Callithrix jacchus: one gene and its partners. Each later gene encodes a partner of the first gene's protein in a complex. Links are inferred from orthologs where the notes say so. Each region holds a gene or a part of one and is shown on either strand. Other genes may lie near its edges.

Evidence for each region.
Region 2: RBM48 (region 1) and CWC27 share a complex: the UniProt entries of both Homo sapiens proteins name them as parts of the minor spliceosome. The link is inferred for Callithrix jacchus from reciprocal best matches to the Homo sapiens genes RBM48 and CWC27.
Region 3: RBM48 (region 1) and CRIPT share a complex: the UniProt entries of both Homo sapiens proteins name them as parts of the minor spliceosome. The link is inferred for Callithrix jacchus from reciprocal best matches to the Homo sapiens genes RBM48 and CRIPT.

The regions. Positions count from the first base shown.
Region 1 is NC_133512.1:57,089,258-57,094,434, forward strand, and holds the start of RBM48 (RNA-binding protein 48), read right to left. Parts: upstream 3,698-5,177; 5' UTR 3,693-3,697; coding exon 3,582-3,692; intron 3,033-3,581; coding exon 2,842-3,032; intron 686-2,841; coding exon 540-685; intron 1-539. Other genes in the region: peroxisomal ATPase PEX1, read left to right, coding at 4,059-4,187. UniProt on the Homo sapiens protein: As a component of the minor spliceosome, involved in the splicing of U12-type introns in pre-mRNAs.
Region 2 is NC_133503.1:144,761,592-144,766,983, forward strand, and holds the start of CWC27 (spliceosome-associated protein CWC27 homolog), read right to left. Parts: upstream 3,658-5,392; 5' UTR 3,451-3,657; coding exon 3,409-3,450; intron 1-3,408. Other genes in the region: protein SREK1IP1, read left to right, coding at 4,072-4,084. UniProt on the Homo sapiens protein: As part of the spliceosome, plays a role in pre-mRNA splicing. Probable inactive PPIase with no peptidyl-prolyl cis-trans isomerase activity. As a component of the minor spliceosome, involved in the splicing of U12-type introns in pre-mRNAs.
Region 3 is NC_133515.1:68,131,611-68,136,830, forward strand, and holds the start of CRIPT (cysteine-rich PDZ-binding protein), read right to left. Parts: upstream 3,658-5,220; 5' UTR 3,559-3,657; coding exon 3,543-3,558; intron 2,122-3,542; coding exon 2,056-2,121; intron 1,303-2,055; coding exon 1,248-1,302; intron 1-1,247. Other genes in the region: PIGF (GPI ethanolamine phosphate transferase, stabilizing subunit), read left to right, coding at 4,059-4,313, 5,014-5,220. UniProt on the Homo sapiens protein: As a component of the minor spliceosome, involved in the splicing of U12-type introns in pre-mRNAs. Involved in the cytoskeletal anchoring of DLG4 in excitatory synapses.

The DNA of each region.
Region 1 (5,177 bases):
ATGCGGTTGCTTGGTCAAAAGTAGAACTTCTCCACGATTAGCAGTGACAATTAGTCTGCAAATCACAACTGCCCACTGCATTCTGGTCAAAGCCTTAATTCCTTAGCAGGGACACAAGGCCCTTCGTGATTTACTTCCTATCCACTATTCTAAACTTATCTGTCACTGAAACCTCTGGGCTTTGATTATATTGTATGAGTTAAAGTTTCTTAAATACATGATGCTCATTTATTCCTCTAAGCATTTAAACATCCTGCCTGGCTTGCCTTTCCATCTTTTCCTCTCCCTTCTAAGTAATGTCTACTTATCCTTCAAAATTCAGCCACTTCTAACAGACTGGATGAAGTCTTCTATGAACCAATATTTCTCCCTTCTCAACCCAGATTATGTAGTACGCTGCAGAGAACTCTGTGGTTTACACTTACTGAATACTGTGATGATTTACTTGCCTCTCTTCCCACTAGACTGGGAACTGCATGATGACACACTTGGCAGAGTGCCTGACACACAGAAGGCATTTAGCAATATGCTTTCCATACCTCTATTTTTAGTAGTTCTTACTACATATGCCTTTCGCACTGCTAGTTTTTTTCTAGTTTCTTCAACTGTTTCAAATTCTGGAGCATAGCACACATGAAGCAATCCACCGAAAAAACTCTGTTCATCCATTTTTCTCTTGGCTGTCCTGAATGGAAATACAAGATAGCATGGTTTTTTTAAATCCAGATTTACTTACAAATGAGAGCTTAACTAGTATACAATACCTGGAGCTAAAGCCAAAGTCCAGCTTTTGCAATGTGTATGTATATATCCTGTGGACTGGGAATCAAGATGCTCTGTTTGTGGATGGTATTCATACCACCCATCCAGTATGTACTCTTAGAGCCTTCTCTTCCCTTTAAACCTCTTGGATTTGTTCCCTAGTCTTTAAGCAACTAAGGACCCAGCTGGTTGGCCTGAGGTATGTAAACTCTGGTCATAAAATAGAGCTTTTCTGTGGCCCTGAAGAGTTAGTTCATATCCAATTAAGCTTTTTCAGCACAATGTATTTCTGTAATGGGATTTATGCCTTAAAAATCAGATGAAAAATACTATAATCATAATACCTTCAATAACTGAGGAAATACTAAATATATAACAATGAGAAAATAAAAATGTTATTCAGTCAATACTTACTAAACATCTATGATATGCCAAGTACTACAATAAATAAATTTAACTACTCCTATATCCAGGGATAATATTAATACTTGTTGAGATTTTATCATATGCCAAGCAATGTCATAAGTGCTTCCCTTGAATTAATACCTCACAACTGTATAATGAAAGTGAAGCACTAGGACATTATATAACTTAGCCATGCTCATACTCTCGTTTGAGGAGCAAGGATTCAAATAAGGCATTGCATACTTCAGCTTTTTTTGAGCAGAGGGCTTATATCAGATAGAAGGCTGGAAAAAACTGAGTCAATTCGCAGAAAGGAGTGACAATAGCTAATGCTTACTGTATTCTGACCAGGAGGGACTATGCTAAACCCTTTATATGGATCATCTCATTTCATCAGCATACTACCTCAAGAAGGTCCCTTTAGCATATAGATTTTATGGAAGAGGAAAAACAGGTTTAACCTGGTTAAATAACTTGTCCAAGGTCATGAAGCTAGTAAGCAGTTGGACTGGAAAACTTACTCCAAGCCCAACTTTTTGTTTTATTTTTTTGAGACAGTGTCTCACTCTGTCCCCCAGGCTAAAGTGTAGTGGCCCATAAACAACTCACTGCAACCTATGCCTCCTGGGCTCAACTGATTCTCCCACCTCAACCTCCCAAGTAGCTGGGACTACAGGCATGCTCAGCTTGATTTTTGTATTTTTCGTAGAGGCAGCGTTTCACCATGTTGGCCAGTCTGGTCTTGAACTGGGCTCAAGCAATCTGTCCACCTTGGTCTTCCAAAGTGCTGGGATCAAATTCAACTTTTTTTTTTTTTTTTTGAGACAGTCTCACTCTTGCCCAGACTGGAGTGCAGTGGTGTGATCTCAGGTCACCACAACCTCCACTTCCTGGTTTCAAGTGATCCTTGTGCCTCAATCTTCCCAGTAGCACAGGCTTGTGCAACCACACTTGGCTAATTTTGTATTTAGTAGAGTCAGGGTTTCACCATGTTGCTCAGGCTGGGCTTGAACTCCTGACCTCAGGTGATCCCCCTATCTCGACCTCCCAAAGTGCTGGGATTATAGGTGTGAGCCATGTGCCTGGCCTCAAACCCATCTTTTTTTTTTTTTTTTTTTTTTGAGAGCCTCGCTTTATAACATAAAAATAGATAAGGCATTGCATACTTCAGCCTTTTTGGACTCTAAGCTGGAGTCCTGTGGCATGATCTTGGCTCACTGCAATCCTCCACCTCCCAGGTTCAAGTGATTCCCATGCCTCAGCCACCTGAGTAGCTGGGACTACAGGTCCCAACCACCACGCCCAGCTAATTTTTGTACTTTTAGTAGAGCTGGGGTTTCTGTCATGTTGGCCAGGTTGGTCTTGAACTGTCGACATCAAGTGATCTGCCTGCCTCAGTCTCCCAAAGTGGTGGGATTACAGGCGAGAGCCACCGTGTCCTAACTTCAAACCCAACTTTTAATCTACCACACCACAGGACATTAAATTGTTAAGCATGGGAATGATGTGATGGGAACAGTGCTTCAAGTAAAGTATACCTTTAAAAAGGCTAGAGGAAAATAAGTGGAATATAGGCTAGATTACATTGAATGAGGTATGAATGAGGGAAACTTGGGCCCAAAATGATAGAAATATGAATGGAGAAAATGAGTCACTGCTTAACTTGCACATTACCTTGCACTTTGTAAGTTCACAAATTTAATAAGATAAACTTCAGTAAAGTCTTCTGCCGGGTATTCATCTAGAGCATTATACTGTTCAATTGGACCATATAAAGCGAATCGCTCAACTAATTCTTTCATGGCTCCCACAGCAGGAACTCCTTGTATTAGTAAGTACTGAGATTCCAAATTGATTGTATATACCTGAAAGAAATGCAGAGTCGTTAAATGTATCTCGCAAATAAACCTAGGACGAATCTGCCTCTATTTTTTTTTAAACAGCGCTTTCAAAACAAGAAATAATCTGTTCAACCCAAACACAAAATAAAATGTCTCTCATTCCCTCTGCATAAAGAGTAACAGCCCATGTGAGAGGGTACCTAACAAAGGCATATAACAGACTACCTTCAGTCGACATTTTTTTCCAGAAATTGAGTCGGTAGAATTCACCGGGAACAATCACTCAACGAGTATTCACTGAGCGCTTACCTTGTGCCAAGTAGTACTGTAAATACAGAAGATCCAATGACTAAAACCAAGCCTTACTCTCGTGGAGGTGCTGTTCTAATAGTTGACCAAAAGGATCGTGAGAATCTTTGATAACTGACCCAAGCAAGGTTCTTCACGCTAGCTCTAAAGAGAGAGGGATCTGACAGCAGCCTTGTCCTGCCCTTATTTCTGTAGACTGGCTATATGGCGCTAGCACTCATATAAAGCTACCGAAGAGAGCGAATGAAACCAAAATCACTTTACCTTGACAGCACGAGGCCGTCGTCCCTCCCGATATTTGGCCCGCGTGTCGCATACCGCCCGCTGGACGTGGTGGTCAAATACATTCCCTAACTCCCCACCGCTCGACGCCATCTTGCCTGCTTTGATCCTCGCAGGGAGGACAACATCCGCCCTGCTGAGCTCCCTTTTCCCCAATAAGAGAGCGAGATGAGTCAAGGAGTCCCACGATTGGCTGGAGAATCGACAGCGTCGGCCATCGTTTCCTGCGTGAGAGGATTTGATGAACGAGTTGCCGCCCCCGCGAGCGGCACCGCGGAGAGGCGCGGTGAGTGGCAGAAGCTCGCTTGTTCCACCTAATACAGGCTTGCGACGAGAGGCGCAGCGGTCAGAGGGGGCGGGGCCGATCTATCTCCTCCGGCTCCGACGCCCTTGGCCTGCCAGGTCCCGGGTCCGCTGCGGCGCTGGGGTGGGGCGAACCCGGAGCGACGCGTAAGGACGATGTGGGGCAGCGATCTCCTGGCGGATGCTGGGCGAGGCGGGACGGCAGTGACTGTGGTCTTCACCAACGCTCGCGACTGCTTCCTCCACCTGCCGCGGCGTCTCGTGGCCCAGCTGCACCTGCTGCAGGTAACGTGCCGGCTCCGGCCACCTGCTGTTCAGCCTGGGGTCGGACTAGGCCGAAACCTCTCTGGGAGGCGGCGGGATGCCTGCTGCCTTTCGGGCGCCGCCGAAGCGCGCAGAGGTCAGACGAAGGGTCCCTCGAGGACAGGGCCCCTCTGAGTAGTCTTTGCGTCCCACAAGTCCTGGGCAGCCCTGGGCTTGTCTTATCCCAGGTCTTTTCACTTGGTGAAACTGAGCCTAGAAACATTCTAACATTCTACCATTGTTTTTAGAAATATTCCTTATTCCAGGTTGGAATATCTCCTGAGAAGTCGTTTGTTTTTGTTATTTTAAAAGGTGTTTTTCTTGCCAGTCATTTCCAGTTACCTGCGCTGCTGCCGTCCCGGCCGCGAGAGGGAGGCGGAGAATTGTTGGCTGAGCCCGGGTAGATTCCCGGGGACTGACCACCGCGTCCCATAAGCGGGAAAGATTAATACAATGATGGTTTTGCGCGGCGTCGCTGACCCTCGGAACACAGCTGTGGTGTGTTAGGAACACGTAACGTAGTTAGGATCACTTGAAGCTCTGAGATCAGTCGCCTTTCTGGACGTTGTGGTAGGGAAGTTTCACAGTTGTAACCACTGGTGGAGATACAGCGTCCCTACTTTCATAATTAAAAATAGAGGCACATGGTCTCAAGAATTTGAGTGTGCTTATGGGGGCAAAAGGATAGCGTATTTGAAGTTCTCATTGTAAGGTTAGCCAAGAGGAAAGGAGAGTAGACCCAAAGTCAGGCAAGCAAGTCTTATTAACTTGCCAGGCTGTTGGTAACACTCAGAGGAGGCAGCCCCGAGCTCACAAAATGAGGGGCTTTTATGGGGTGAGAGGAGCTTAAGAGAGTTTCAGGACTGAGATAATTTATCAGCTTGTCACAGGCACAGAGATAGTTTGTTAACTTGTGACTGGCTTACAATATACATCATCCTGCGAATCCTGTGACTTGTGGCGGCAGTTTTT
Region 2 (5,392 bases), on another chromosome or scaffold:
CCAGACACACAAAGAAGAACTGTTACCATTCCTTCTGAAACTATTCCAAATAATCCAAAAAGAGGAACTCTTTCCCAAATCATTTTATGAGACCAACATCATCCTGATACCAGAACCTGGCAGAGACTCAACAAGAAAAGAAAACTTCAGGTCAATATCCATGATGAACATAGATGCAAAAATCTTCAATAAAATACTGGCAAACCAACTGCAACAGCACATCAAAAAACTTATCCATCATGATCAAGTAGGATTCATCCCGGGGATGCAAGGCTGGTTCAACATATGCAAGTCTATAAACGTAATTCACCACATAAACAGAACCAAAAACAAAAACCACATGATTATCTCAATTGACACAGAGAAGGCATTTGACAAAATTCAACAGCCTTTTATGCTAAAAACCCTCAATAAACTCAGTATTGATGGAACGTATCTCAAAGTAATAAAAGCTATTTATGACAAACCAACAGCCAATATCATACTGAATGGACAAAAACTGGAAGCATTCCCTTGGAAATCTGGCACTAGACAAGGATGCTCTCTCTCCCCACTTCTATTCAATATAGTACTGGAAGTTCTAGCCAGAGCAATGAGGCAAGAAAAAGAAATAAAGGGTGTTCAACTAGGAAAGGAAGAAGTCAAATTGTCTCTATTTGCAGACGACATGATTGTGTATCTAGAGGACCCCATCATCTCAGCCCAAAATCTCCTGAAACTGATAAGCAACTTCAGCAATGTCTCAGGATACAAAATCAATGTGCAAAAATCACAAGCATTCCTATACACCAATAACAGACTTAAAGAGAGCCAAATCAAGAACAAACTGCCATTCACAGTTGCTACAAAGAGAATAAAATACCTAGGAATACAACTAACAAGGAACGTAAAGACCTCTTCAAGGAGAACTACAAACCACTGCTCAACGAAATAAGAGAGGACACAAACATATGGAGAAACATTCCATGTTCATGGTTAGGAAGAATCAATATCATGAAAATGGCCATATGCCCAAAGTAATTTACAGATTCAACGTTATCCCCATCAAACTACCAATGAGCTTATTCACAGAACTGGAAAAAACCACCTTAAACTTCATATGGAACCAAATGAGAGTCCGCATAGCCAAGTCAATTCTGAGTAAAAAGAACACAGCGGGAGGCATCACCCTACTGGACTTCAAACTATACTACAAGGCTACAGTAATCAAAACAGCATGGTATTGGTACCAAAACAGCGATATAGACCAATGGAACAAAACAGAGGCCTCGGAGGCAACACAACAAATCTACAACCATACAATCTTTGATAAACCTGACAAAAAGAAGCAATGGGGAAAGGATTCCCTGTTTAATAAATGGTGTTGGGAAAAGTAGCTAGCTATGTGCAGAAAGCAGAAACTGGACCCCTTCCTGACACCTTACACTAAAATTAACTCCAGATGGATTAAAGACAAACATAAGACCTAACACCATAAAAACACTAGAAGAAAATCTAGGCGAAATTCAGGACATAGGAGTAGGCAAGGACTTCATGACCAAAACACCAAAAGCATTGGCAACAAAAGCCAAAATAGAAAAATGGGACCTAATCAAACTCCATAGTTTCTGCACGGCAAAAAAAAACAGTCATTAGATTGAATAGGCAACCAACAGAATGGGAAAAAATTTTTGCAGTTTACCCATCTGATAAAGGGCTGATATCCAGAATTTACAAAGAACTAAAACAGATTTACAAGAAAAAAACAAATAAGCCCATTCAAAAGGAAGTGAAGGATATGAACAGACACTTTACAAAAGAAGACATACATGTGGCCAACAAACATGAAAAAATGCTCATCATCACTGGTTATTAGAGAAATGCAAATCAAAACTACATTGAGATACCATCTCACGCCAGTTAGAATGGCGATCATTAAAAAATCTGGAGACAACAGATGCTGGAGAGGATGTGGAGAAATAGGAACACTTTTACAGTGCTGTTGGGAGTGTAAATTAGTTCAACCATTGTGGAAGACAATGTGGCGATTCCTCAAGGACCTAGAAATAGAAATTCCATTTGACCGAGCAATCCCATTACTGGGTATATATCCAAAGGAATATAAATCGTTCTACTATAAGGACACATGCACACGAATGGTCACTGCAGCACTGTTTACAATAGCAAAGACCTGGAATCAACCCAAATGCCCATGGATGATAGACTGGACAGGGAAAATGTGGCACATATACACCATGGAATATTATGCAGCAATCAGAAATGATGAGTTCGTGTCCTTTGCAGGGACATGGATGAACCTGGAGAACATCATTCTCAGCAAGCTTACACAAGAACAGAAAACGAAATACCGAATGTTCTCACTCATAGGGGGGTGTTGGACAATGAGAACACATGGACACAGGGAGGGGAGCACTACACACTGGGGTCTATTGGGGAAAATAGGGGAGGGACAGCGGGGGGTGGGGAGTTGGGGAGAGATAGCATGGGGAGAAATGCCAGATATAGGTGAAGGGGAGGAAGGCAGCAAATCACACTGCTGTGCACCTATGCAACTATCTTGCATGTTCTTCACATGTACCCCAAAACCTAAAATGCAATAAAATAAATACTTTAAATATATAAATAAATAAAAATTCAGGTGATACTTATTCTACAACTGACTCTTCTGCCTTGTACTGTATACAAACACCTTGGATGGGAATTGGCATACATTAGCCATTAAATCAATCAGAGAAACATTTTTCCATTCTAATGTGGTAATATTCCCCATTTCCCCCTTTCTCTGAATGACAGTCATCTCAGGTTTTAAAACCAGCTCAAAAGATAGCTTCTCCATGATGCTTTTCCTAACTTTCCCAATTGTTCACTACTCAGTATTACCATAGTAACATGGTCTCTTCTCTACAAGCACTCTTATCAGACATACAAGGCTTTTGTTTACCTGCCTGTCTCTAAACTGTAAGCTCTTCCTGGAAAACTACCTTACCTATGCCTCTTTGTATCTCCGGCGCCTAGTACAGTGCCCAGTGGCTAGCAGGCGTTCAATTAATGACTGTAGAAGAAATGGAGAATTAATGACCTCCAAGTTAAGCAAAGAATATATCAAACTCAAAAATGTACTTTTAAAAACTTAAGGCCCTAGATATAGGCTGCGTGAGTTGGGTTAAGGCAGAAAATATGACCGGAACGCTGCTGGATAGGGAAATCTCCACTTGACTTTTTCAAGTACATGCTGAGAAGTACCAGCTTCAGTGTTTCGATGCAACATTGTCCACAGGAAGAAGTAAAGACAACACTTCTCGTGGTCTCTTCCTACCACAAGATCCCTGAACCCATTCCCCACCCCAAATCCGGGAAATCTCATTTTGGGGATCTCAGGGCCCCAAGTTCCCTAGATGAAGCTCTCACCTTCCCATTCGTGGGAGGCTCCTGGATGTAGATGTTGCTCATCGCGATCAGTACTAAGGACTCTGCTCCTTATGGGGGATGAGAGTGGACGGCGGGTCACGAAAGCTGTCCGCCTACGAGCACACTCTTCGTTAAGTCGAGTGGTCCAGGAAAGCTTCAGTTTGTCAACATCACGCAAGACAGGAACACCAAACACTACCTTTGCCCAAAACAACCCCTCTCGGACGCCGCCATGTTGTTATCGGACCCGAGCACCGCTAATGCTGAGAAGGGTGATTCCAATGTACTCCTGGGTACAAAAAAAAGTCTGTAAAGCTACTATGGCTTAATGTAATTTGTATTACAACATTAGAAGAGGCACTTCGTAAGTTTTGGCGGTGTTTACTTCACTACTTGCGTGTGCAGATCGCACTCAGCACCCCCCAAAACTAACAGTAATGGTCCGGACCATGTGTCTTCTGCAATATGACTCGTCCGGAAACCGCATCTGCGTCTACTGGTTCTGTTGTCGCTAGAGGCTTACAGGGCCTTCCGACTGTAGCGAAGGTGCTGCCGCTCTGGGGAAGGCAAACGCCGCTTTGGCTGTGCCTTGTCCTCGCAGCTGGCGGGAAGCAAGCGCCTTTTCGAAAGCCGGAGGCTGCAGTGACCCCTGTCACCACCGTCATGGCGGTCCCAGGTAAGGAGCCACTGCGTCCGAGCTCGGAAGGGAGCGCAAGGGAGGATAGGGTAGGGTGCAGGATGTAGGGAGCAGCGCCCATGGGGATTTAGGTGGAGGCCTTAAAATTCATGAGTTTGTTTTGTTTACGTGAAAAAGTTTACAGTCCAAAGAAAAACTCTGAAGGAAAGAAAGTAACTATCTTCCTCCCCCCGCAACTGCATGGGATTACAGGGAAAGTATATCGTGGAAGGGAGGGAGAAGGGAGAGACTGTAATTGTAGGCCTAAGGGGGCAGGCGGCCAAGAAAAACTACCTTAACTGTGGTATGGCTTTAAAATAGAATTTGAAGTGGAAACACTTGGCCGACTCAGGTAACCGGAGCCATCGTTTGTCTTAGAAGTCGCTAGGACCTGCCGGGTGTCTGGGTTCTACTCCTAGCCTTTCCTGTTGTAGGTAGCTGCTCTGTGGCCACAGATTGGTCTCTTTGTGCTTCTGGGCCTCAGTTTTCTTATAAAAACATGGAGCTTTGTTGAATGATGTATAAGATTTCTTCTGAGTCTCAAATTCTGTGTCCAGAAGTTACTGCCCTAAAAATGGTGAACTCGCAGAATAATTAAAAGATTTTCTCGTCCTCAACTACTAGCTTACTTGGAAGTTCTAGTAGGGGAGTGCATCTCCTTAAACCGGCTTTGCGAACACTGGTTGCAGGAGATATTTTCAGGAATATACACTCCTCCACCCTATCCCCCGCAACTTGGAAATTCACAGTGCACTTTAGTAATAGAAAGGATTCTGAAAATTACCATGGTTCAGAGCCCTGTTTAAACCTACCTTTCCCAGTATTATTTGACCAGATAATCTTTGTTCTGTGGCAGCCTTTTTGAACCTCATTCTACAGATACCTGTTATGGGAACATTGGCTTTTGTACCAACTGCAGTTTGGGGAGGAGTACATCTGGAGCTGTGAGAGAGGAAGTGTACACTCTATTAAGTGCCTATTGTGTGCCAGGCACTGGAGGCATTGAAAATACAATCGTGAGCAAGGTAGACATGGCTACACTTCACACAGAACTTAGAATTTAGCAGCGAAGAGAGAGAAATTTACAGAAAATAGAACAACTGCCATGGCAAGGAAAATACAAGAACTTAGGAAGCACATAGTAAGGGCACCAAACACATAGAGGATGGGCAGAAGGACTCCAGAGGATGTAGCCTTTAGGAGGAGATCTAAATTATAGAAGGAGTGGTTTGGAGGGAGAGGAGACTGTAGTTGGAGGAACTGGATATGTAAAGGAAGAGGAAATATGTGAGAAGAGGAAATGAAAGA
Region 3 (5,220 bases), on another chromosome or scaffold:
AGGACTATAAATTGTTCTACTATAAGGACACATGCACACGAATGTTCATTGCAGCACTGTTTACAATAGCAAAGACCTGGAACCAACCCAAATGCCCATGGATGATAGACTGGATTGGGAAAATGTGGCACATATACACCATGGAATATTATGCAGCAATCAGAAATGATGAGTTTGTGTCGTTTGTAGGGACATGGATGAATCTGGAGAACATCATTCTCAGCAAACTGACACGAGAACAGAAAATGAAATACCGCATATTCTCACTCATAGGCGGGTGATGAAAAATGAGAACACATGTACACAGGGAGGGGAGCACTACACACTGGGGGTCTATTGGGGGGAAAAGTGGAGGGCCAGCAGCGGGGGGGGAGCTGGGGCGGGATAGCCTGGGGAGAAATGCCAAATGTGGGTGAAGGGGAGAAAGGAAGCAAAACACACTGCCATGTGTGTACCTATGCAACTGTCTTGCATGTTCTGCACATGTACCCCAAAACCTAAAATGCAATAAAAAATAAAAAAAAAAAGATCCTATTATGTGCCCACACTGTATGTAGTTAAGGCTTTAGTATTGTTATTTCTAATCCTCAGGATGACATCATAAAACAGGTATTCATTCATTCACCAAATATATACTGAGTGCTTACTATGTACCAATTACTGTTCTAAATACCAAAGATCAACATGATAGACAAAGCCCTTGCCCTCATCAGATGGCATTCTAGACAGGAGGTAGACAATAAGGATACAGACAATCTAATAAAACAAGCAAGCTTTTCAAATAGTAGCATTATAGAGACAATTCTAACAGAATATGAAGGCAGAGATGAGGAAAAGGAAAGAAGAAATTAGTTTACAGGCTGATTAGGGAAACCTCTCCGAGAAAAGACCCTTCAGCTGAGACCCAAACACCAAGGAGCCAGATACGTAAGCTCTCAGTAAAGACCTCGAGGACACAGCAGCAAGGACAAATCTCTTTGGATGGGGGAGGCTTGGCAGAACCAATGAGGATGGCATATGATGAATGAGGAGGAGTATGGTACAATATGAAGTCAGAGGGGGACATACAGTAAGGAGGAATAAGGTAAAACCAGCAGGTTATAACAAATAGCTTGGTTCTGAGTGCCAGGAACCACCTAACTCTATGTTTTATTGCAATTGGAATGATGCACATCAAATTCACTCCAGTAGGCTTAACATTAAAAGAGTGAAAATTATATGACTTCTCTATGGATCCTCTTACCCACCTTGCTTTTTTTGAAGTCAAAGCTTTATTTTCATTCAGCTTTCTTCCACCACTTTCTGTATCAAAATAGAAGTTATTTTAAAGGGTTACTTCTATACATTTAACATATAACATTAAGAAGTTCATTCTCTGACTTTCTGCCAAACTAGTAGCCTATATCTAATTTTTAAATCTTCATTTAACAGTCAGGTTATTAAGACGCTGCTTAAAAAGAAAACATTTATTAGAGAAACAATAAAAATTTGTATAAAATACAATCATTTTATTTTTCAGACTCAAGGTAGTACCTTAGGAATGGGTCTATATTTACTTGATATACTGTAAAATCTAGAACCCACTACTTCAGTGTCATAGACCTTGAATGTCTATGTTTCTTTTCTTTCCCTTCGAAAACATACTTTATGTATTTAATGATAATGAAGGTAAATACTTCACTGTAAGTAATTAATGATAATGAAGGTAAAATGGGTTAAAGGATTTATTCAAGAATATAAAAACCAGATTTAAAAAAATTTCTCCTCAGAAGAGCGGAGAAATTAAATGCAGTCTCTAAATAAGCTGAATCAAATCAAATATTATGATACTGTCACCACTTGACAATCATTTAATAATTTTGCTATCTCCTGATGTTAGGAACCTGTACAAGTAACAGAACTAAGTAGAAGATATTAAATAACTTGGGGACCCAGGATTCTTTCATGTTTAATAGACAAAATACTTTGAACACATTTCATTTTACAAATAACGTAAAAGATAAAATATTCACAGGAGTCTCTGGTTAAATTCCTATTTTCTAAAAGAAGAAATACCTGTGGTATTCCTAGCACCATCTTTCCATGTATCTGGAGTGATAACAGTACCAAGTTTCTTTTCACCTGTTATAATAAGATAGTAAAAAGCAATTTAAAATTTAGTATTTCATAAGTGCATCACATTGTGCCTAAGGTTCACAATGGTATCAACAGTCCTATTACTGCAGGAGCCTGTTAATGCTGGGAGAGCAGTCAGTGAACTGAGACTTGTATTAACTGTGGGCAATGAATGACTGATCCACAGTAAAATCCGTAGGATAATAAGATGGCTTATAATAAGCTTTCTCTGTTTGTTTATACTTTAAACAAATCTGGCAAGTCTATTTGTTCCATACATATTTACTAAGCATCTATGATGTATAAACTATACAAATTACTGAAAAAAATAAGTGATGAATCAGACAAAATTTTAAAGAGATTATAGTACAGTAGTTTAACAGCAATCTTTAATCTATGTTCCACAGGTCGATCTTAAGAGATATGTGAACAAGGCAGAATTGTACACAAACCTTTTATATATCTTTTTTTTTTCTTTCCTGGCAAGAGTCTATAGCTTTCTTCAGATTCTCAGAGAGAACCTGAGAATCATTCAACCAAAATATAAGCTAAAAATTAAACGGTGTAATAATTGAGAGCTAAAGTACTAGGTGAAATTCCATGCAGGAAGATATAACCCTGGCTAAGGAAATCCAAGAAAGTTTGGGGAGAAGGCAAGAGAGAGGATTTGAATATGTGGCAATAGGACTGTGAACAAAAAGGAGTAAAGAGGATAAAGGCAGACTGATAAAGGACACATTCTGAGGAAAGGCATGGAAAGCTCCGAGTACACATGGGCACAAAGGGTAGTTACGTTTGGTCAAAGTGTGAAGAGGGTAAGGATCAGTGAAGATGAAGCTGGAAAAATAAGTTGGGGCCTTATTGCGGAGGGTCCTGAACGTCAGGCTCCAAATACAGAATCCCCACATTGTTCTCTGCACACTGAGAATTTATTAAAGGTGTTAAATTAGGGAAATAGTAACTTGCACTTGCGTTGATGTTCAATTCACACATCTTCTGGGCTTACTCTAAGCCATATTCTGGCATAATGACTAACAGGAATGAGTAAGACGAGGTCCTTGGTCTTTGGTTCTAGTGTGTTACATGAATAAAAAGGAAAGGTCAGGAATTGCAAGAGGGAAAGGTGTGATTGGGGTTTAACTGAACATTTTTATACGGGAGGGGAGCTGATGAGATCTGGAGCTGGGGGAAGGCAATGGAAATAGACAAGGAGATGCAGAACTAAGACCATTCTGAAAACAAAATATACTATAGGACTATATGGTCTTTGGGGAGGTGCAAAAATGGTCAAAGGGTAGAGCAGAAGGACAGCGACTAGAATCAAAGATGTGGGCGAAGAAAAAACAAAAGAGAAGGCAGAGTTCCCGGGAGAGTTCATTTAGGTTCCCCCAGTTTCTTCCTCCCGCAGGAGGAGCCCCTTAACTCACATTTTTCGCAGACCATCCTTCCCCACGACGGTTCCCCTAGCCGCAACAGCAGCAGCAGCAGCAGCAACAGCAGCCCGAAAACATCAAAACTAAAACCCGGACGGCTTCCCCTTCCGGGCTACGTCAACCCACTTCCGGCTTCTAAGCACGCCGCTCCGGTCTAGCCCAAACTTGGAAGGCCGCGGGAGGAATGAACGGGAGCGTCTAGGCGGGGCTGCCCCATCTGCCCGCCCCTCTCTTTCTGCTACTGGCTATGCGGCCCTGGATCTCCGCCCCTTAACCCTGCGCTTGCGGGTGGGCCTGGGTAGCACGTCGTACCTGATGGTAGGAGGCAGTAGTTCCCCGCTTCCCTTCCGCGGGTGGGAGAGTTAGGTAAGCCCCAATGTACGCCCCCGGCGATCTCGCCCCCCGGGGTGCAAGCCACCCCCGCGAACTGCCGTAGCAGCCGTGAGCCTTGGCGTCCCGGCCCGCCCGCTCTCGCCCTCAGCTCGAGCGCCACTCTTCCGGCGTGCTCTGATGGACAGACCCCCCCTTTCGGATCCGAGTTTCTGCCTCTGTCCCCCAGTTTTCCCTTGTCTCCAACTCCCGTGCTCTTTGATCCTGCCTCTCTGCTGGTTCCTGGCTGTCGACGCTCGCGCCGGCCTAGGCTCGGGCAGAATCCCGAGCGACCCAGGTTGGGGTGGGGCTGCCAGTGAAGGTGCGGCGATGCCCGCGAGGGCTCCTCTGGGGGCCGCTCGGAAGCGCCGTCTCTCTGCTGCGGTGCCTAGCGAGGTGGGCCAGGTCATACCCGTGGCACCCTTGTAGGTGTCCTGGGGGCACGCCAGGGCCTAACACGGTGTGGGTTTCCCAGGAGAGTTAGTTTCCCACTTTACATACTCTGGTTCCTTCATTCGTTCAGCAAACATTTGAGTTTGGTTCCTGCTTATTGTAGGAGCATCTCCTGTTGGCAGCTGCGATTCCGAGGGTGGCTCAGAAAAATGGATGAAGGGTTTGTTGTGAGGATGGATTCCTGATGATTGCCCTCCCTCAATCAGCTTAAGATAGAATCTATAGGAAACTTTCCCTTTGTCCCTTCTTGCCATCCGTTTCCTTCTCCATCCCTTTATTTCGTTGTACCAGAGAGAGGGCTGTAGCTCTTGAGAACTTGGACCTCCTTACCTGTTTGTCGTGTTTCCTTATCAGTAAAGTATCTGCCTTTGAAAAGCATTGGGTGAATTAAGTGAGAGCAATTTTTTAAATTGCATTTTAGGTTTTGGGGTACATGTGAAGAACATGCAAGATTGTTGCATAGGTACACACGTGGCAGTGTGATTTGCTGCCTTTCTCCCCTTCACCTATTATAAGGTCCAGGTGTTTTGAAACAAATACATTGCCCATAGGAAATTGACTTTATGACTTATTTGTAGGGGTTGAAACATTTTGGACAATGGAAAAAGTCATTATTGCATATGCTCTTCTTGTTTTTTATTAGCTAGCCACCCAGGAAAACACCATGAAAGATACCGATATCAAAAGACTACTGTATACCCATCTTTTATGCATATTTTCAATTATCCTAAGTGTCTTCATTCCATCACTGTGCTTGGAGAACTTCTCATTATTGGAAACACACTTGACATGGTTGTGCACCTGTTCTGGTTTTGTAACTGCTGTCAATCTAGTACTATATTTAGTAGTG